Linked DNA regions of Yarrowia lipolytica. The protein of the gene in region 1 purifies or fractionates together with the protein of each later gene. This does not show direct contact. Links are inferred from orthologs where the notes say so. Each region holds a gene or a part of one and is shown on either strand. Other genes may lie near its edges.

Evidence for each region. The genes of interacting proteins can lie anywhere in the genome.
Region 2: the proteins of YALI1_E23912g (region 1) and YALI1_B28292g purify together in Saccharomyces cerevisiae (affinity purification with mass spectrometry; 3 studies listed by BioGRID). This does not show direct contact. The link is inferred for Yarrowia lipolytica from reciprocal best matches to the Saccharomyces cerevisiae genes ASC1 and SCP160.
Region 3: the proteins of YALI1_E23912g (region 1) and YALI1_F21583g purify together in Saccharomyces cerevisiae (affinity purification with mass spectrometry; 3 studies listed by BioGRID, with this or other methods). This does not show direct contact. The link is inferred for Yarrowia lipolytica from reciprocal best matches to the Saccharomyces cerevisiae genes ASC1 and PRT1.

The regions. Positions count from the first base shown.
Region 1 is NC_090774.1:2,388,441-2,395,866, reverse strand, and holds YALI1_E23912g (40S ribosomal protein RACK1), read left to right. Parts: upstream 1-3,383; coding exon 3,384-3,426; intron 3,427-3,719; coding exon 3,720-4,231; intron 4,232-4,635; coding exon 4,636-5,055; downstream 5,056-7,426. Other genes in the region: YALI1_E23961g (uncharacterized protein), read left to right, coding at 1-374; YALI1_E23945g (uncharacterized protein), read left to right, coding at 1,376-1,948; YALI1_E23899g (uncharacterized protein), read left to right, coding at 5,947-7,167. UniProt on the Saccharomyces cerevisiae protein: Component of the ribosome, a large ribonucleoprotein complex responsible for the synthesis of proteins in the cell.
Region 2 is NC_090771.1:2,827,571-2,835,206, forward strand, and holds YALI1_B28292g (uncharacterized protein), read left to right. Parts: upstream 1-1,656; coding exon 1,657-5,337; downstream 5,338-7,636. Other genes in the region: YALI1_B28349g (uncharacterized protein), read right to left, coding at 6,248-7,303. UniProt on the Saccharomyces cerevisiae protein: Involved in the control of mitotic chromosome transmission. Required during cell division for faithful partitioning of the ER-nuclear envelope membranes which, in S.cerevisiae, enclose the duplicated chromosomes.
Region 3 is NC_090775.1:2,156,715-2,162,842, forward strand, and holds YALI1_F21583g (uncharacterized protein), read left to right. Parts: upstream 1-1,675; coding exon 1,676-3,829; downstream 3,830-6,128. Other genes in the region: YALI1_F21567g (uncharacterized protein), read right to left, coding at 1-13; YALI1_F21612g (uncharacterized protein), read left to right, coding at 4,496-5,614; YALI1_F21647g (uncharacterized protein), read right to left, coding at 5,931-6,128. UniProt on the Saccharomyces cerevisiae protein: RNA-binding component of the eukaryotic translation initiation factor 3 (eIF-3) complex, which is involved in protein synthesis of a specialized repertoire of mRNAs and, together with other initiation factors, stimulates binding of mRNA and methionyl-tRNAi to the 40S ribosome.

The sequences.
Region 1 (7,426 bases):
GAAAGGTGTGCTCGGGCACCACAGGCCACGCTGAGGCCCTGCAGGTGTCGTTCGAGCCCGCCAAGGTGTCCTACGAGCAGCTGGTGGACTTTTTCTTCAAGATCCACGACCCCACACAGGCCAACGGCCAGGGCCCCGATATCGGGTCGCAGTACCGATCTGCCATCTTCACACACTCGTCCGAGCAGCAGAAGATTGCCGAGGGCGTCAAGCAGAAGCTGCAAGACACGTGGTTCAAGGACCCCATTGCCACCGACATTGAGCCCATCCAGAACTGGTGGGACGCCGAGGACTACCATCAGGAGTACCTCTTCAAGGAGCCCGGTGGATACCAGTGCCCTACCCATTTCTACCGAAACACCCCTCAGAAGTAGACCACTGGACTACACATACCCATCCTTCAACAGACACATGACCTGGCCAATCGGCTTTTTATTTATGAATATATGGAGTCGGCTCCCTTCAACAGATATCGAGTGTGGTAGTACTTCTTGTACTGTATGTACTTGTAGAGGTTTCGTGTATGCTTGCGACTACTTCTAGCGACAGCTATAGAACCAGTGAGACTCCTGGTGTAAACGATTTTTCATCTGATTAATAAACCTGGCAACTTGTTCTAGTCTCAGAATATCTTCTCTAGCTGATGGTGATCGCATATGGGTGGAGGGAAGGTATGAGACCACTGTATGTACTACAGCTATGCACTGTACTACAGCTATGAACGTATATCAAGGAGTTATAACTACTACTTCTCAATCTATGAGCCCTCTTTGTTCTTTCGATGATCACTGTGGACAGGTTTATACCGACGCCTACGTTCAATCCGTCCAAAGCTGTGCAAACATGGCACGGGGCACTGTGCGAGAAAAGGGTCCGCGCTGAACACCTTACAGCAACGATACTGTGGTGTTTATCCCATCGTAAAGCCTATCGAAGCGAAATTGGGACTCTCTTATCACACTTCCAATCGGTATCGTGTCATATTTTGCTCTTCTGATAGATAAATGGTGGTTTAAAAATCGGCCAAAAAATCAATGGAATTTGGATATCATTGTCCAGACTGCCTCTGAAGTTATATTGCCTGCCATCATAGTATAGTGGTTAGTACACCACGTTGTGGCCGTGGAAACCTCAGTTCGATTCTGGGTGATGGCAATTAATTTTTTGTTTTGAGAACCGCCACAATGTGGTTTCCTGTCTCTTTTTTGATGATTTTAATCTAATTAGTTGTGATTTGGAAGTCGTTGCAGCATAATAAATGTCTTTCCATCGGCATCACTCATCTCTATTATGGTACTGCTTGTGCTTTTCTTCATCATGTCTGCACTATCGCTAGCTTAGACTCTGACCTTGCATTCATCACCACTCATACACCATGGCGGACGAAGGCAAGAAGGAAGAACCGATTGCGGTGGGGGACGAGTCGATGGAGATTGCGACGGAAACGCCGACGGGTGGAGCGCTCACTCTAGACGATAGCCACGCGACGGATCTGGCGACCCTTCCTATGGGTCAAGACGAGGTGTCTGAGCGGCTGGAATCGCTACACAAGACGGATATGAAGATTGCCAAGATGACAGAGACGCTGTCGAACGCGATTGATCTGCTGATTCCACGGTCGGAGCTGGATATCAACAGCTTTGAGCTCAAGGAGGGCGACAAGGGCTGGGAACCGGGCATTCAACAGGGTCTGCCCTCTCTTAAATCTGCATTCAAGGTCAACTCCATTGAGTTCCTACAGTCGCTGGAGGAGGTGTCGACAACACTGCGAAAGGAAATCAAGCGACTGAATGATTTTAGCCGCGACAAGGTGCTTCCCATTAACACGGACACCAAGGCCCAATGGACGTCATTGGAGAACTACGACAAGATAATTAACCAGATCAAGGGCATGTTGGGGGCCGAGGGGGCCGAGGAGGACAAGGATAAAGAGATGAAGGATGTTTAGAATGGATACTGTAATGATAAATGATAGCATGTTGTGAATGAGACTATGGACTGGCTGGTGCTGAGGTGCTGATCCGGGGAAAGTAAGGGCTTTCGTGAGATTGAACATACTGTTATACAGTCTCTGGCAAGAGTCTTTTCTTGAGAGGTATGCAGGACGAACTGGTATCAGTACCAGTAGCCCAGTGTATTTGACTGCTCCCCCTTCATGTGCTCACACTTTTGACATCCATTTATCATGTTCGAGTGAGAGACTTGGTGCAGTATGTAGCGTCTCTCCATGAAGATGATCGTGAGAAAAGTAAAAAGTAGTTGAAAGTGGTTGCTTCTTGTAGTTGTACACGACAATTTGTGCTGTTGGTTCGGTTCAATATGTCGTTCAACAGTTATATTACAAGCAGTAAAACTCACAAATCTGGTACAAGTACTCGTACATACAATACTTGAGGTTTTTTCCTTCTTCTCGAGGGGAGTATCATCCACAATTGCAGAGCTGTTGCCGTTATTCAGACCAGCCTGTGCGTCCACTGTGACCCAGCATCCCCCGTATATCTAAACTACCGCCGCAACATGTCATAAGGACTGGACCTGCGAGAACATGCCCATCGTGTTGTTGCTTTTGAAGATATCAATGTTCGGAGTTAACCGGAGTTGACAGTATGTACTCGGAGCTTGATCCATGATGATCTAGACATTGTGAATCATGGTCAATGTCGGAGCACATTGTAGCACACCAGATTCCCTCTATGATACAGATAGTATAAAGTCTGCCTCCTCAACCGGTATGGACTGCGCTGATGGTATTCTGGTCAGTGATTTCCCCTACCATAGCGCAGCATCTACTCTCGTACCGGTAGCGTTAGTTAGTTGTAGGCTGTCTGAGAGGGTGCTCATCGGTTCTTCCAGCCGAACTCCTTCATCTTCCCTTATTATTCAACCCTCATTATTCAATCCACCACGCTTGCTTGAACGCTCATCTCCAACACCTGATAGCTTCATCGTTGGTCTGCCCAGAATACTTAACTAGTTTGGTTGGGCTTTCCGTCCTACACTTTGAAACTACTTGACTTATAGTTGGACTTGCCGTCTAATTCACAGCCCTAGTTAAGCTATTACCTTGTTCTAATGGCAATACGAAGTCTGAAACCAGCATCCCGGCTATTGTAGAAGCGCCGCCTGGAATATTCCTCATCATTCGAGACAGTCGTGGTCGCCCACCATCCGATTGTGCATTTTGAATGCAAGCAAGCCACTTGTGAGGAGCTGGAATCGAACCCCGGTGACCTGTCTCACGTGACTACCTTCCCGTTTAGAAAAAGCGGTCACGAACTTTATTATGCAACCCACTCACGCAGCTTCTTCACCGCGCCCTTGATATCTTGTCATTTCCAACTGCGCGCAGGAAATTTCTCACGGTCCAGTTAGCATAATACAACATGAGCCAGAACGTTCTTCTTGTTCTCCGAGGAACCCTTGAGGGTGAGTGCTACTGAAGGAGGGAACACAACGACGGAACAATTCGACTCTGAAGGAATGATTGATTGGGGACTGGATGAATCAACGACAGAATCGACTGCTGGCACTGAAGGAGGACAAATACGGGCGACAATGAACGGCTTTGATCTGTAAAGACAAGGCATTTTGAATGGTTGAGAGCCATGATTGCTTCGAAAACACTTCTTTTTTCAGTCACTGTCAACTTGTTTGATTCGTGTTATTCACATACGTGGCCAGGCTTGGCGCAAACCTCCCCCGAAACTCCACTAACATAGGCCACAACGGCTGGGTTACCTCCCTCGCTACTTCTTCCAACAACCCCGACATTCTGCTGTCCGGATCCCGAGACAAGTCCCTGATTGTCTGGTCTCTGACCCGAGACGACACCAACTACGGTGTTCCCCGAAAGTCTCTTAAGGGCCACTCCCACATTGTCCAGGACTGTGCCATCTCTCATGACGGTGCTTACGCCATCTCCGGCTCTTGGGATAAGACTCTCCGAGTCTGGGACCTGAAGACCGGTGTCTCCAAGGACCGATTTGTCGGCCACACTGGTGACGTTCTTTCCGTCTCTTTCTCTCCCGACAACCGACAGATTGTCTCTGCCGGCCGAGACCGAACCATCAAGATCTGGAACACCATCGGCGAGTGCAAGTACACCATCACCGACAAGGGCCATGAGGACTGGGTTTCCACCGTCCGATTCAACCCCGCCACCAAGGACGAGGAGGAGCCCTCCCCCAACGCCAACACCATCATCTCTGCTGGCTGGGACAAGAAGGTCAAGGTGAGTATCAGACGACAAATACTAACAAGCAGAGCAGAGCAAAGCATAGCGCACATGTTGTGTAACCAAGGCTTTGCAACTTCACAAGTGATACCATTTTGGGCGTTCTGCCCCCAAACAGCATGATGATTTAACGGAAAAACATGAATATTTGCTACTTCAGAGCCCGAAAGGCTATGAGACAAAAATCCATATTATCTGATTTGTTTGGACCTTTGTGGAGTTGAAATGTGTGCCACAACATATGCTGTGCTGAACAAGTTGGGCTTGGTCTCTGGATGTTTTTGAGACTGTCTTCGACATCTTGATCATATCCTCAGGTCACTTTTGACAATCCCACGCTCTGGTACTGCTTGCATCCAGCTAGCTCATCGCTAGTGATACAATTGCACATACTAACTCAGGTCTGGGACCTCGATACCTGCACTCTCAAGGCTGACCACCTCGGCCACACCGGATACGTGTCTACCATCACCATCTCCCCCGATGGATCCCTCTGCGCCTCTGCCGGTAAGGACGGCTCTATCCTCCTGTGGGATCTGACCTCCTCCACCGCCCTCTACACCCTCCCTGCTGGTGATGAGGTCCATGCCGTGTGCTTCTCCCCCAACCGATACTGGCTCTGCGCCGCCACCTCCTCCTCCATCAAGGTCTTCGACCTGGAGAAGCGAGTGCTGATTGACGAGCTCAAGACCCAGACCACCTCCGAGGACGGTAAGGAGCCCGAGGCTCTGTCCCTCACCTGGTCCGCTGACGGCCAGAACCTCTTTGCTGGTTACACTGACAACGTCATCCGAGTCTGGCAGATCATGCAGTCTTCTTAAGTTACTTAGTTACTTAGGTCGTTGCGTAAAAATACTAAAATACATGTATGATATGGATGTAGTCGACACCCACACCAGGACCTTGTCCGAGGGTTGTCGGCGTATGTACTGTAATCGAATAATCTATCTATACAATGTACAGAGCCTCTGCCCGTTCCTGTTACAACAATGTATTATTTTTATTGTTTTTTTTCGTGGAATCATCATCCGTTATCAAGTAGCCTAGCTTTTTAACTAGTTTAATTGAAATTTGTTGGGATGAGAAGTCCGCAGGGGGTCCAAATCTGCTGTTCCGAAAACGGTGGAGTTTTTATAGGCACGTTATTCTATACCAAATACAGCATTTAATAACTAATATTCAATAATATACATGTTTTGTCATACAATTATGTTTCCGTTTGCTGTGAAATAAGTCTGCTTGTTGTCTGGAAATAGTTGACTTTTTACTTGAGAGGTTACGGTGAATGCGACGATGCATATATCCACGAATTTGCAACGATGACTATATTCCAAACAGTATTGAGTACAAGTACTTGTACAAATGACCCTTTCCGTGTGTTTTTTGGAGCGAATCCATCTATTTTTCAACGAATTTCCACCCCCGGTAGACTTATCTTCAGATCAGTATCAAGGTGAAAAATTGAAGCAAAAGTTTCGGGTGGTGGGGAAAAAAAATGTAACAAATGTCAGAAACGCAACTGAAAAAATGCCCTTTAAAAAAACAGGGATTTTCAAATCGACTCCGATGCCCCTCCAGCCTGTTTATACCTTCCATGCCCTCTCTTTGCTATGCTGACTCACTGTTGTCTTGTCTCCATCTAGGTTCTTACCCTAACATCTGAGTTGCAACATCTCTCTCTCACATATCACCAGGCGCAAAACGACCCGAACATGGCCAGAGACCCGCTAATTGGAATCGTCGGCAAGCCCAGTAGCGGCAAGTCGACCACTCTCAACTCGCTAACAGATGCAACCGCCAAAACAGGCTCGTTTCCCTTCACAACCATCGACCCCAACAAGGCCACGGGCTACCTGCAAATAGATTGTGCCTGTGCGCGGTTCAAGGTCCAGGAGAAGTGCAAGCCCAACTACGGCACATGTAAAGATGGACGCCGTTTCGTGCCTATCATGCTGCTAGATGTGGCTGGTTTGGTACCGGGAGCGCACCAGGGCCGAGGACTGGGAAACAAGTTTCTGGACGATTTGCGACATGCTGACGCTCTGATCCACGTGGTGGACGTGTCAGGAACAACCGATGCCGAGGGCAAGAACACGCGAGGCTACGACCCTGTCAATGACATTGAATGGCTTCAGGATGAAATCTTCCGGTGGATCGAAGGTAACCTCAAGGAGAAATGGGGATCTATTGTTCGAAGGCACACCTCTACCAAGAGCCATATTGTGGACACACTGCAGAATCAGTTTTCCGGTTACGGATCCAACAAGGATATTGTCCATCGGGCAATCGACAAGCTGACTCTGCCACCCATGGAGGAGTGGGATGATGATAAGATCAGTGAAGTTGTTCGGGCTTTCACCAGGGAAAAGTTCCCCACCGTTCTGGCTCTCAACAAGATGGACCATCCCGATGCCGATATGAACGTATCCAAGATCATGAAACGACATCCTGATGTTCCCTCGGTTCTCACTTCTGCCATTTCCGAGGTGTTTATCCGAAAACTCGCCAAGCAGGGCTACGTGCAGTACGAAGAGGGCACCGAGTTTCTTGACACGGCCGAGGATCTTCCCGATGCCGGTCTCAAGCCGCTGGACGACAAGCTCAAGGAGCGGGTCGAAAACGTACGAGACCTGGTTCTGTATAGATTTGGATCCACTGGCCTGGTACAGATTCTGCAGGCGGCGGCAAACATTCTCGAGCTGGTTCCCGTCTACCCTGTCAAGAACATTAACAACTTTGGAGGCGCCCAGGTGTTCAGAGACTGTACTCTGGTGCGACGAGGATCCACTGTGGCCTCTGTAGTGCGTAAGATCATGGGAGATCTGCCTATCACGGCCATTGAGGGTGTTGGGGGAGCTCGCGTGGGAGAAGAGGACACTGTTGATGTTGGTAAGAACGACATTTTGTGCTTCAAAATCGGACCCAAGGCCTGAGACATATAGACGGAGAGGAAAGTGGAGTTGTACATAGTCAGTAATAAAGGGTAGGTAGAAGTTCCAGCAAGTAGGTACCAGTACGAGTGCCAGGGCCAGGGCCAGTAAAGTACAAGTACATCGGTCCGACTCGATGTAATCCACCAGTACAGTACAAGTACTTGCAATTCTTGTCTTCTATACTGATGGTCCCTCTATGTGCATGTAGATGAGGGTCCATATGTCTTACAGGTACAGTATGTACAAGACAAGTATAAGT
Region 2 (7,636 bases), on another chromosome or scaffold:
ATACGATGTGAAAAAATATATCCATGTCCAATCCCACACCACTCCAGATAAGTTCTTGTCCACGTTTCAGGATTTATTATCAGCAGACTATTACGTCACTTTTCGGATTCCCACACTCTCACTACTTGTACAAGTAGCAGCACAAATAAAGAGGTCCTATACGGTCCTGACCTGAATCTGACTCTACTTTCATCCTTTGAGCTAATCTCATGATGATCGATCTGAGCAGAAAAGGAAGAAATATGCCGTGCGCTGAGCGATGATCCGTTTCTAAAAACACGACCGAAGGTGTTTCATGTTTCACAGCGTGCAAATCAAAATAGTAGCCAAAAAAAACTGAGGTTTGCGGGCTCAACAGAAGGTGAGACGAGGTTCTGATACGTAAGTAAATATAATTGGAGTAAGTTGAGACAAATGATTATCATGAAGAGTTTGCTGAAATGATCATACCACGATGAATTTTAAGATGTATTAGCGTCATTTTCTCATCTCACGTTACATAACCATGTCCACTTTTTTGTGACAAACAACGGGTTTCGCTTATATAATCACGGAGATCTGAAAATACATAATCTAACATAACGAGATAAACAAAAACGTTTATCGCATATATTATTACTTTAGGTAAAATTTCGAGTCAAGTTTTTCCCCCTTAGAAAAACTCCGACACATATCGAAGCATTATCCACTCTGAAAAACTCGTCCAAAAATCTGGTCACGTGATTTCGGTGATATTTCAGATCCTATTGATTCAACGCAAAAATTTTATAACCGGCCGTGTGGTCTAGTAGCTATGATTCTCGCTTTGGGTGTGAGAGGTCCAGGGTTCAAATCCCTGCTCGGCCCTTTTTTGGAAAATGACATTACAAAGCTTTTTGCTTCTGCAGATGACGATGTTAGTGCGTTACAGTCATCTTTGCGACGCCAAATTTTTGCCGCGCCAAATCGGACTCATTCCTTCTCAACCATGATTATCACCATCATCGTCGTGAAATGTTGAAATATATATAAGCTCAGAGTTTCTCGGGCATCATGCAACACGAGGGAACAGAAAGTATCGTCAGAATATCGTCGTATATAGTTGTTGCAACTACAATGGAAGTTCTGCTCTGTCATTCACCACTGTTTCTTCTGGTCCGTATGTCGTTGCTCTACTTCTGAGCAACATTCAAGCACTTTTGACAGGTGTTTGGGGCTCTGTGCATTGCATCATGCTGTATTAGGGTAGCCCCCAACCAGTCGTGTCGCTATGCACAACGTGTCACCTCCACAAGACAAGGTTGGCGTCTATTTTTCATCCCCATCAAAAACTCTCTCTACCCCCAAAACCCCGTTTGGAATACAGAACTTGAAGAGTTTTGTTTGTCTGGTCCCCTCCCTGTTTGTTTGTTTGTTTTTGTTGAAGTGAGTATGAATTGAGACCGAGGATCCGAGTGTTGATGCCGCAGAGGTTGCGTTATGGCTAAACAGTGTCTCATTTGATCTGTTTCCATGGAGACCAAAAAGGAGATGCACAAGTGGACACAGTCCTTGTACACTGGAGCATGCCCTGGATAATTCATTGAATCAACTGACATCTGCCGGATCTCATTTATACATGTTACACCAACAGTTATCTGATGTGTGTGCTTGTGCCACACAAGATGCTGTCAAGACATGACGACCCCCACCACCACCCCACTAACACAGATGTCCGACCTGTCCCCCGCTGAGCTTCTCCGGCAACGACATGCTGCCGTGAGCGCTGCCGCCGAGCCCACCCTCACCGTTTCTGAGGGCTCTCTGTCCAAGGAGTCTTCTCCCGTTCCCGAGATTGCCCCTGCCGCCCCCGTGAAGTCTGTCGCCGGTCCCTCCGCCGCCTCCAAGCGAAAGGGTCTCGATATCAACTCTCTCGAGGCTTTCCCCGCTCTTAATGGTGGTGCCGCTGCCCCCAAGGCTGTTTGGGGTAAGGGAGGCTCTGCTCCCGCTGCCCCCTCCCCTCAGTCCTTTGGTCGAGCCGCTTCCACCACTATCTCCGATGTCTTCACTCTCAAGCGAGAGGAGCAGCAGGTTGGTGTGCGATCCGAGCTGCCCAAGATCATTGCTAAGGTCAAGGCCAACACCTCCACTACCATCGACTCGTCCACCTCCAAGATTACGGGCCACACCTCCTTTGTCATCAAGGGTACCCCCGAGAACGTGGCCAAGGCCCGACGTGAGCTGCACCGAGCCCTGTCCCAGAAGATTGTCGCCAAGTTTGAGATCCCCGCTAGCGTGCGAGCTGCTGTGATTGGCCCTCGAGGTTCCAACCTGAAGCCCATTCTTGAGAAGTCCGGTGCCCATATCCAGATTGAGAAGCTCGAGTCCAACGGCAACAACGCCGACGACGACGAGGAGACGGTCGAGGTCATCGTCGAGGGTGACTCTGAGGGTATTGCTATTGCCAAGCAAGAGATCTTTGCCATTGTGTCCGAGCGAGTCAAGAACATGACCATCCGAGTTCGAAACGTCAACTATGTGCTGTTCCCCTTCCTTGACAAGACCGCCGGAGACCTCACCAAGGGCGAGGACGACGTCAAGCTCAGCATCCCTGATATCTTTGCTCCCAACTTCACCACGGCCGCCACCATCACTCTGTCTGGCGACCGAGAGGCCACCGCTACCGTCAAGGAACGACTTGAGCGTCTTGCAGAGTCTCTGTCCACCGACCTTATCACCTCCACCGAGTCCTTCCCTGCTTCCAAGCACAAGTACATTTCTGCCAAGGATGTCTTTGCCGCCACCTCCGTGTTTATCACTGTGCCCCAGGCCCCCAACACCTCCGATGACACCGTCAAGTTCCTGGGTCTGCCCAAGGACATCAAGCCCGCCATGAACAAGGTGTCTGAGCAGGTTAACTCCGTCAAGATTGATCTTTTGGACATTTCTCGAGCACATGGCAAGAGCGTGCCCCATGCCCAGGCTTTGGCTTCTTACTTCAAGGCCTCTGGTATGCTCCAGAAGATTGCTGACGAGTACAAGGTCGAAATCTACATCCAGCAGCCCGATCAGCTCTACGCTCCTGGCGCCCAGGCCGTCACTATCGAGACCTCTGGTCCCAACGAGGAGGCTGTCAAGGCTGCCCGAAAGGCCATTGTGGCTCTGGTAAACAAGTACGAGCCCTCCAAGGTCTCTCGAGTGTCTGACATTGATCCTTTTTTCCTGCGAAACCTCGCTGGCCCCAAGGACCGAAACCTGGCCAAGTACAAGAAGGACCACGGAGTCACTGTCCTGGTGCCCGAGAACCCCAAGGTTAACGGTGACGTGATTCTCATCTACGAGGGCACCTCTGAGGAGGATGATTTCGGCCCCTCCGCCGACGAGATCAAGGCCACCTTTGCTGCTGTCGACTCTTCCTTTGCCGATATTCGAGAGAAGCAGGCCAAGATCATTGGCAAGCTAATTTCCGTCCCCGTTGGCGAACACAAGTTTGTCCGAGGTCCCGATAACACTACCCTTCGAGCCATTGTTGGCGGAACCGAGGGCCACGAGCCCTTTGTCCGAGTCACCTTTGGTGACGAGATCAAGGACGCTGAGGAGCCCGTTTCTGCGGACTCCATCTACGTGCGGGGTCTCAAGGATGAGGTCACCCGAGTGCTCAAGGAGATCGAGGAGGCAGTGGAGGACGGCAAGAACTATGCTGTTCTGTCCCAGTACACCACCGAATTCCAGATCCCTCCCGAGCATGTCAAGCATGTTGTTGGCAAGGGCGGCTCCCAGCTCGCCAAGTTCCGTGAGTACGGCGTCAACATCGATCTCGACGAGTCCGGTCAGGGTGTTGTCAAGGGTATCAAGAAGAACGCCGACGAGGCCAAGGTTCAGATTCTGGCTTTCGCCAAGAAGATTGCCGACGAGGTCAACGTCAAGCTTCCTGTGCCTGCTGACCACCACGCCTCTCTGATTGGAACTGGTGGCAAGTTTGTCAAGCGACTGGAGGAGAAGTATGACGTTCGAATTCGGTTCCCCAAGACCGGTGAGGAGAACGCCAACGAGATCGTCCTTCGAGGTCCCTCCAAGGGTGTGGCGAAGGCCAAGGAGGAGATTTTGGATCTCGTAAACTACGAGATTGAGAACTCGCACTCGCAGACCATTTCCGTCCCCGTCAAGTCTCTGCCCCGAATCATTGGTCGAGGCGGAGAGTTCATCAACGACATCAAGGACTCCACCAACACTCGAATCGACGTCAAGCAGGAGAAGTCGGATAACACCGACGAGACCGGCAACGTTGACATTGAAATTGTTGGTACAAAGGCCGGCGTCAAGGAGGCTGCTGCCAAGATCCAGGCTATCGTTTCTGAGTTCCAGGACACTGTCATTGAGCACATTGAGGTGAACCCCAAGTTCCACGGTGCTCTGATCGGTCCCGGCGGTCAGACTCTCAAAGACATCCTCACCAAGGCCGGTATGACCGACGTGACCCCCTCCGTTGCTGCTCGAACCGTTGCTGTTCCTGCTGCCGGCACCAAGGATAACAAGGTGCGAGTCCAGGGCTCCAAGAAGATTGTGGCCAAGATTGTCAAAATCATCCAGGACATGGTTGCCGAGCGGGAGTCCCAGATCTCTGAGGTTGTTGATGTGCCCGTTTCCAAGCACCGAGATCTCATTGGAGCTGGAGGTGCTGCCAAGCGATCCCTCGAGGAGAAGTTCAAGGTTACTCTGCAGATCCCCAAGCAGGGCGCCAAGAACAAGGATGGAGAGCTCGACACCGGCGTCTCCATCACCGGTAAGGCTGAGGATGTCGCTACCGCCAAGGCCAAGATCCAGGAGCTGTCCCAGGACAAGTGGAAGGAGGAAATTCTGGTCCCCCGAACCTTGCACACCACTGTGTCCGACAACGGAAACCTGCCCCGAAAGCTCAAGTACGAACTCAAGGTTAACGTTGACCACGGCTCTGTCCGAACTCCTCGAGACGGCAACCCCGTTGTCCCCGCTGGTGCCATTGGCTCCGATTCTGAGGACAAGGACTCGTTCCGATGGTCTGTTGTCGAGGACGCTGTCGACCACGCTGCCAACGGCACCATCCCCTGGAGGCTTGAGGGCTCTGACGAGAACGTTGCCAAGGCTAAGGCCATCATTGAGGCTGCTCTGGATGTTGCTCTCAAGCACACTCAGACCGGATACCTGTGGCTCCCTGACACCTCTCGATACCGATTCCTGGTGGGTCCTCATGGAGCCACCGTGTCTCACATCCGAGAGAAGTCTGGCTGCAAGATCTACATCCCCAAGGCTGGTGTTGCTGACTCTGCCGTGACCGTGCGGGGCTCCCCCGAGGGTCTGGAGAAGGCCAAGGAGATGATGCTTGCTGCTCTCAAGAAGTAAGCTTGTGTTTGTTTCAGGGATGCAAAAAATGTACTGCGGGTACGATTCGGTAGTATTTAGTATTTAGTATTTATATCATTTGAGATTGTATGTTGTGGTGCGCACACAGGTCGTCTGTTGTGCGTATCGTAGTGTGTGTTGGGATATTTGAAGTGTTCTCCAGGCCCACAGTGGTTCGACTATGGCCGCCGGAGCCCTTATAATACTCAATTCTGTAACCCTTCTGATATAGGAGCTCCATCTTTAGTGCGCCTTTCAAGTGAAACATTTGGGTAGATAGAACCATTCATACAAGCATCATCGAATTCAGTAAATGTAAGCTTTGTCGCCAGTAACTTGTTGGTCATCCATCAGCAAACCAGCTGTCGCCGCTGTGCCGGGTCACCTGAGTTTGATTATGATGTTCGCTTGTCTGAGAGAGCCCCATGTTCCAAATATGCTGGTCGTGTATACATAAAACTATTTTTTTACAGCACAAGTACCGGTCCGGTACTTGTAGTCAGTTACTCAAGAAAAAATCATCTCATCTCGTATATGCTCGTATTTAATTTAGCTTCCGGGTTGTCGTAATATGTAATCCTATTTTTAAATTACGTCAGCAATGTTAATCTGGAGAAGCCATGTTATTAACAATGTTTAGAGATAAATTTAGGTCTATATTCTCATATAGTTTTACCTAACTAACTGTTTATCATGCTTGTGAGCCACAATCCGCATTCAAAACCTCATCTCACGTGACCTGTTTTCCCCGCGCATTATCGTCTCGTGCAGGTGCATATGGGTAAACTACTGTGTCTTACAATTGTACTTTCTACACAATGCATGTTTATGCGTTTAGCTCTACTTGTACTTACTTAGCTACTGGAAACTGTAGCTCCCCCTCCCCCTATCTATGTTAGTTGTTACCATTTTAAAACTTGCCCTTCTGCTCAGGAACAATGGAGATAACCTTTCCAGTATCAACAAAGCTCTCGAGGTTGTCCAGAACCGCCTTCTCCATCTTGAAATGGGTCTCGTGGGACCAGGTTCCCATATGAGGCAGAAGCAGGGTTCTAGGGTGTTTCAAAAGACCTTCTTCAATGGCAGGCTCTCGCTCGAATACATCGAGACCGACTCCTCCAATCTTTCCAGAGTTTAGACCGTCCACTAGGGCCTTCTCGTCGCAAACAGGGCCTCGAGCGGTGTTGACAATGATGACTCCGTCCTTCATTTTGGAGATGGACTCTGCGTTGACGAGGTGCTTGGTAGCAGCATTAAGAGGCACGTTGATGGAAATGACATCGGCCTTGGAAAATAGATCTTCAGGCGACTGGCAGTAGACAGAGTCCTTTTCCAGCTCGGGGGCCAGGCGATTTCGGTTGTAGTACAGCACCTTGCTGAAACCCAGAGGAGCCACGTAGTCTCTGATTTCTCGGCCGATTCCGCCCATACCGAGAATTCCGAGAGTCTTGCCGGAGATGTCGTTGCCCAGGGCCACTCCCTTGAGCCATTGGCCCTTTTGCAAGTTGAGAGCTCCGTCTCCGAAGTTTCGCAGGGTGCCGATCATTAGATACAGGTTCGTGAGAGCAGTCGACTCGTCGGCCATGGACTGCACGTTGCTGACCTGAATGCCTCTTTCGGAGAAGAAGGGCACATCGATCTGGTCATAGCCTGCTCCGTAATGGCAGACAGCTTTGCAGGACTCAGGAAGAGCCTTGGCCAGCTCCTCGTCGAACCGGCCGGTCTTTTTGACACTGATGAAGGTTCGGAAGATGGCATTGATGTCCTTGTAGGTGTTTTTGAGGTCCTTGAGAAACGATTCTCGGTCAGTTCCATCCTTGAGAGTCACCACGTCGGCCTTCTTCTTGAGCTTTTCAAACTCGTCTTTGGCGTCCACCACGTTGTCAAGGAACAGGATCTTCTGTCTTTGGGTCGAGTACAATCGGGCGAGCGACTGTCGCGCAAACTGTGGTCGGATACGGAGCATTGTGTGTTGCAATTGAGTGTGTTGTTGGATGCGTACTGTACTATTAGTCTGGGGTTAGCTCCTTGGGTACTTCCTCCTTTAGGTTGACCCCCACGCTAAGCGGAGCACCCCCACAAGGTCATTGGGACTTTTGAGGGCTCTATCCTCAGGCTTTTATTGGTGGCCCACATGAGTCAAAGTCTGACTCAATAGCACGCCCACACACGCACTTGTGCGGTTACAATTGACAGTTGCAGGTTTTGTACGAGACGGGGTACCACTCCTTACAGTTACACACAGGGCATGTAACTCGAAGAAAGAAGACGTATAACCACGTATAAATGCGCAATAGTG
Region 3 (6,128 bases), on another chromosome or scaffold:
CTCGTTCGCTCATTTCGTTCTAGCAAGGGACTTATAGGCGAATTATCCAATTATCGGAGACCGAAGACGTTGCACGTTTCAGCATTCGACAGATGCTGCACTGCACGGAAACCCTAACCCGAAGGGTTTAATGTCGTGTCAAACGCGGCCTGGAAATCTCCTTTTTGGAGAGATTGGTCACGTGTATGATAAATAATTCCCACGTGATGCGGTGTATAGCAATGGTGTATCTTTTGGCAGGCCCTAGGTCTTATCTGGATTGGTCAAAGGTGCGGTTAAGCGAAAACTTTAAATCACGGGTTGTGCTGGAGTTTTAACTTCTGGGGGAGGACAACACAGGTTATGAGTTTGGGAAGGAGACGAACTACACGTGGGGACGTACAGTAACCGAGAAAGTCCTCCCTATGTTGGAGTCCTTTAACTTTATACTCTCGTGCATATTCATTTCACGTGACTTGAAGAATCATGACATTCTCGACTGTAGGTTACTTGCTTGTACTTGTATGTCCATTGTAGCTTGGGGGCTTTGGCTCGATATACCTGTGAGTGCGGTCACGTGACTTGTCAGGGGGTAGAAATAAATCTGCTGTACAAGTACAAGTACAATTGCCACCAGTATAGAGTCTTATTCCCGAACGAGACTGCTCCTTGGCTCTTAAAGGTTAGGACGGCTATGGAGAGCCCATTTAACCTGTTTAATGATGTCGACAGAAGGTCAACAAAGGTCATTTGGCATATGTTCTCTTAGAGGAATCGGTGTTTCAGATGGCAGATTATACATGGGTGGAGGGGTTAAAAAGCGCTACTGGGGACTTTTCCTGAAGGAGGGGGCTTATGACTACTTGTACTTGTATCTTGTACTTGTATCTTGTACTTGTACTTGCACCACCACGTTGATTTGCATTCAAGAAAATCAGATGTTACGAGACTGTTCGTCACTTGGTCCATGAGTGGACTGTCTATTTGAGAGATGCTTGGAGACTGCAAGTACCAAAAATAAAGCAGTAAGAAACTATTGAAATACTGTTTTATACGATTGAAGTACTTACGGTACGAAGACGGTATGTACTTGTGATAGACCAAGCTTGCTCAAACATTCTTCAACAAACATTCTTTAATAATGTTAACTAAGATCCTTGATCCAAGTAAACCAAACAAGACTTCAGTACAGACTTCAGTACAATATATACAAACACTGATATCTGATATTGTCGTTAATTATGACCACTTCTGAAAACCGCAACTCTTCCATACGTTACACGCTCGACCTACTTGTAGACGTGCTCACAATTACCGGTTCTTGTTATTCCACTCACTCTCACAGATGGCACCAAGCAACCCCGACTCAACCCCGACTCATTCTCAGAGAACGATTCAACCTGTCTAATAATGCACCGATCTCAAATCAGAAAACTGCACCCCCCTCATATCACACACGTGTCAATATTTCGCGTCCATGATATCCATATCACGTGACCAACCCACGGTATTGCTAATAGCCACCAGAAAACAAACTACTGTACAGTATGCACATGAGCTCGGTCCTGATCCTGATGCTGGGTCCATTAACATTAAGGTTTGTGTTACCCTCTCTTGGTGAAAAAAAGCTGCGTGTGCGATTTGAATCAAAGGGTAAAATTATAGGCCCTTCATACCACCACCACCACCACGAAAAATGACTGTGGAGGATAACCTCGATATTGACTTTTCCGATCTGGAGGAGAAGTACGCTGTCAACGCGGACGAGGGCTTTGAGTCTTTCATCGTTGTCGATGGAGCTCCTGTGATTCCCCAGGCCAAGCAGGCAGCCCTGGCCAACGTCATGAAGAAGTTCTTTGGCGCTGTTGGCAAGATCAAGGAAGACGGCATCTTTATTCCCTTCGACGAGGCCACCGGTAAGTCCACCGGATTTGTCTTCATTGAGTACGAGACGGGCGAGATGGCTGCTGCTGCCGTCAAGTCTTTCCACAACAAGCAGTTTGACAAGAACCATAAGCTGCTTGTCAACAAGCTGTCCGAGGTGGAGAAGTACGGCATGCAGTACGACACTCTGAAAACCGAGGAGTTTGTCGAGCCCGAGACCGAGCCTTTTGTGGAACAGGGACATCTGCGAAGCTGGCTCATGGACCCCCAGGGCCGAGACCAGTTTGTGCTCCATCGAGGAGACACAGTCGGAGTCTTCTGGAACAAAAAGGGTGATACTCTGGAGGCTGACGTTGACCGAGAGCGATGGACCGAGACCCAGGTCTACTGGTCTCCCACCGGTACTTACCTTGTGTCTACTCATACTCAAGGTGTTCAGCTGTGGGGTGGCCCCGACTGGGCTCCTCCTATCTGCAAATTCCAGCATCCCAACGTCAAGATGGTGCAGTTTTCTCCCTGCGAGAAGTTCCTTGTCACCTGGTCTAACGTTCCTCTCGTTCTCCCTGATGACGAGGAGAAGCGAAAGAGCATTCCTTTTGGCCCCGCTGACGAGGGCAAACAGATCATTGTATGGAACCTCGAGACTCGACTTCCCGTCCGAACCTTTGCTATGCCCCCGGAGAAGAAGGGCGCCTCTATGTCCTGGCCCATTCTCAAGTTCTCTCCTGACGACAAGTACGCTGCCCGTATGATCCCCGGAGAGCAGCTGTCTATCTACGAGACCGAGACCATGTCTCTGCTGGATAAGAAGTCCGTCAAGGCTCCCGGTATCGTCGACTTTGAGTGGGCTCCTGCTCTTGTTAACCTGGAGGGACGACAAAAGTCCGCCACTGAGTCTGTTCTCTGCTACTGGACTCCTGAAATTGGCAACCAGACCGCTCGAGTGGTCCTCATGAAGGCTTCCAACAAGGAGGTGCTGCGAACCCGAAACCTGTTCAACGTGGCCGATTGTAAGATCCACTGGCAGGACCAGGGACGCTTCCTGTGCGTCAAGGTCGACCGACACACAAAGTCCAAGAAGTCTACCTTTACCAACCTCGAGTTCTTCCGACTGTGCGAGCGAGGAGTGCCCGTCGAGGTTATGGAGCTCAAGGACACCGTCACCAACATGGCCTGGGAGCCCCACGGAGACCGATTCGTCACCATTTCCAACTCGGACTCCACCACCAACTACGACGGTCCTCTGCCCGCCAACCGACACACTCTGTCCTTCTACGCTCTTGAGCGACACAAGGGAACCCAGGGCACATGGAAGCTGATCAAGGCATTTGACAAGAAGAACTGTAACTCTCTGTTCTGGTCCCCTAACGGTCGATTCCTCATCACTGTCATGATTGAGGGCTCTAACTCTATCGATCTCGACTTCTGGGACATGGACTACGAGGGTGACCGAAAGCACGGTGACAAGGATCTTCCTGCCAACCTGCACTTCCTCGGCTCGTCCGAGCACTACGGTATCTCTGCTCTCGAGTGGGATCCCTCTGGACGGTTTGTCGCCACCTGGTCTTCCTACTGGAGACACCACACCGAAAACGGATACAAGATCTGGGACTTCCGAGGCCAGCTGCAGCGAGAGGAGTCCATTGACCGATTCAAGCACTTTTCCTGGAGACCCCGACCCCCTACTCTGCTCTCCAAGCAGCAGAAGAAGGATATCCGAAACAACCTGGAGGAGTACTCTCGAAAGTTTGAGGAGATCGACGCCATGGAGGCTTCCGAGGCTTCTCGAGAGCTTATCATGCTGCGGAAGCGACTGCTCGAGGAGTGGACCGCCTGGAGAGCCCAGACTGACAAGAAGCTCGAGGAGCTGGGTCTTGTCGAGCCCGAGCCTGCCGAGTCCGAGTACACCACCATCGAGGAGATCAAGGAGGTTGTTGTCGAAGATAAGGAGGAGGTTTGCGAGTAATCTATTCGTGAACTATTAAAATCGGTCGTCGTATGCGACCATAAGCAAAGAGTTTAAAACTACTTACGATTGTATGAGAGATGTTGTAGACAGGGTGTCCATTGTGTGCCCTAGATATCGTATTGTACTGGTGCAATACCAGTAGTATCGGTCAAGGAAAGTTGCAGTAAGTAGGTACTGTACATACTGTAACATTAGTAGAGAATATACATACGACAACTTGTACAGTACCCAGAATACTTCTCATATACAACTCATTGATACTTGGGTGCCAGTGGTAGTGTACAAGTATAGGCAGCTGGATCAACAAATTGTTGCTTCAGTGTTGTATGAGAGATTATATATAGTCTTCGCCTGAATCCTGCCTCTACCGCCCGATGTTTCACTTCTGCAACAGTAGCAGCCAAAAAAACGTATACTTGGGCAGCTAGAGAGAACACTCATTCCCATAGTCTTGCTTTGTCGATGTTACTCCGCCAACAAAATCAGATTGGCTTGAACATACGCCTTGCATATTCTCTCAACATTCGCCCTATTGCTTACCGTTCAACATCAGCTCTCATAGCTCCGGCACTAGTTGTACAGTAGTTCCAGCAAGATCATCTGCGATCTAAACTTTTTTCAGTTTTTTTTTGGACCAGCATCTCACCACTATACAAACACATCATGGGCAAACGAAGCGGATCAGGAGACGCCAACAAGCGCAACAAAAAGGCGCGGTACTTGCCCGGAGCCATCAAGAATGTGGAACCCCGCTACCAGGGAGTGTACGTAAGTTACACCCGAGGCAAGGAAAACATGGCCAAGAACGAGGTGCGACTGATGATGAACGAGTGGTGCGACAAGCTGTATGGAACGACTGTGGTGGAAAACGACGAGGAAGGCGACGACATTGAAGACGTGGACGACATTGATAAGGCCATGGCTGCCGAGGTGGCTGCCATGAAGGATACCAAGAAGGATCTCATCACTCCATTGCCTCTGGGATGTGAATGCATGTTATTTGTGCGAACCAGAAAGCCCGTGGTGCCCGTGGACTTTGTCAAGGCCATCTGCCAAGGAGTCAAGGACACTGGAAAGAAGTCCACTCGGTTTGTTCAGCGTATGACTCCCGTCACTCTGACTTGCAGTGCTAGCAAGCCCGAGCTGGAGAAGCTGTGTGATATTGTTCTGGGTCCCCACTTTCACCTGAAGGAGGGTCAGAAACCGCTCAAGTACGCCATTCGACCGACGATGCGAAATTTCGACGGCATGAACCGAGACGAGGTTATCCAGTCAGTCGCTTCTCGAGTGGGCCAGGACCACGGCCATTCTGTCGACCTCAAGAACTACGACAAGCTCATTCTCGTCGACTGCTTCAAGGCCTCCATTGGAATGTCTGTTGTTGGCAACGTTGAGGAGTACGAGGGACTTGCCAGATTCAATATTGAACAGCTGTGGGAGCGACACAATGAGGCCGAAACAGGCACCAGTCGAGTCAACAAGACCGACCAGACGGTGAAGGACATAGAAGATGAGGCCGAGAAGGCCGTGTTGAAGGAGGAGATTCAAAAAGAGGCTGATGAGACCGAAGCAAAGGCTGAGAAGGCTCTCAAGGAGCTGGACGAGCTGAAAAAGGGAAACAAGGATTTGGAGGAGGACAAAAATAAGACGAGCATCCAGGTCGATGAGCTGGAAAAGGACGCTGAGAAAAAAGTGCTCGAAGGTGAAGTTGATGAGGTGATTGACGAGGCCAAAAAGGTGAGAGAAGATGTCCGGGACTTGAGAAAGGAAGTGTCTGAGTAGTTTATATTTAGTATTTATGATATCTGTCAATGACAGAGTGACTGGAGCGAAGATGTATGCTTCTGACACTTGAAAGAAACCATATGCTATGCCATCTGTAACAAACGACAAGAACATCTAAAATTTACGGTGTATTGTATGTAATATACCTACAGTATATACAGTACGAGCACTGGACTGTACTGGTAGTGGGTGTATTATTATTGTTTCATGCAATATATTCATTATTCATAAGGTGTCTATGTAAAAGGTTGACACATGCAAAAGACTGTTAGTAGCGATGGTTGTTGTTTTTGGTTTTGAGTGTGGTCACTCTCTATTGAGTGTCACTAACAAGGGCTTCAGCCAGAGATTCAAAAACAGAGGAGGTCAGAACCTGACGAATAGAGGCACGCTCCTCAGGATCCACGGTCAAACACTTCTCCAGAAGCTCAACCCAGTCGTCGTTGCCGTCACCCAGCTTGCTCTTAAGAAGCTCCCGGTCCCATTGAGCGTTCTGAATGAGACCTCGAAG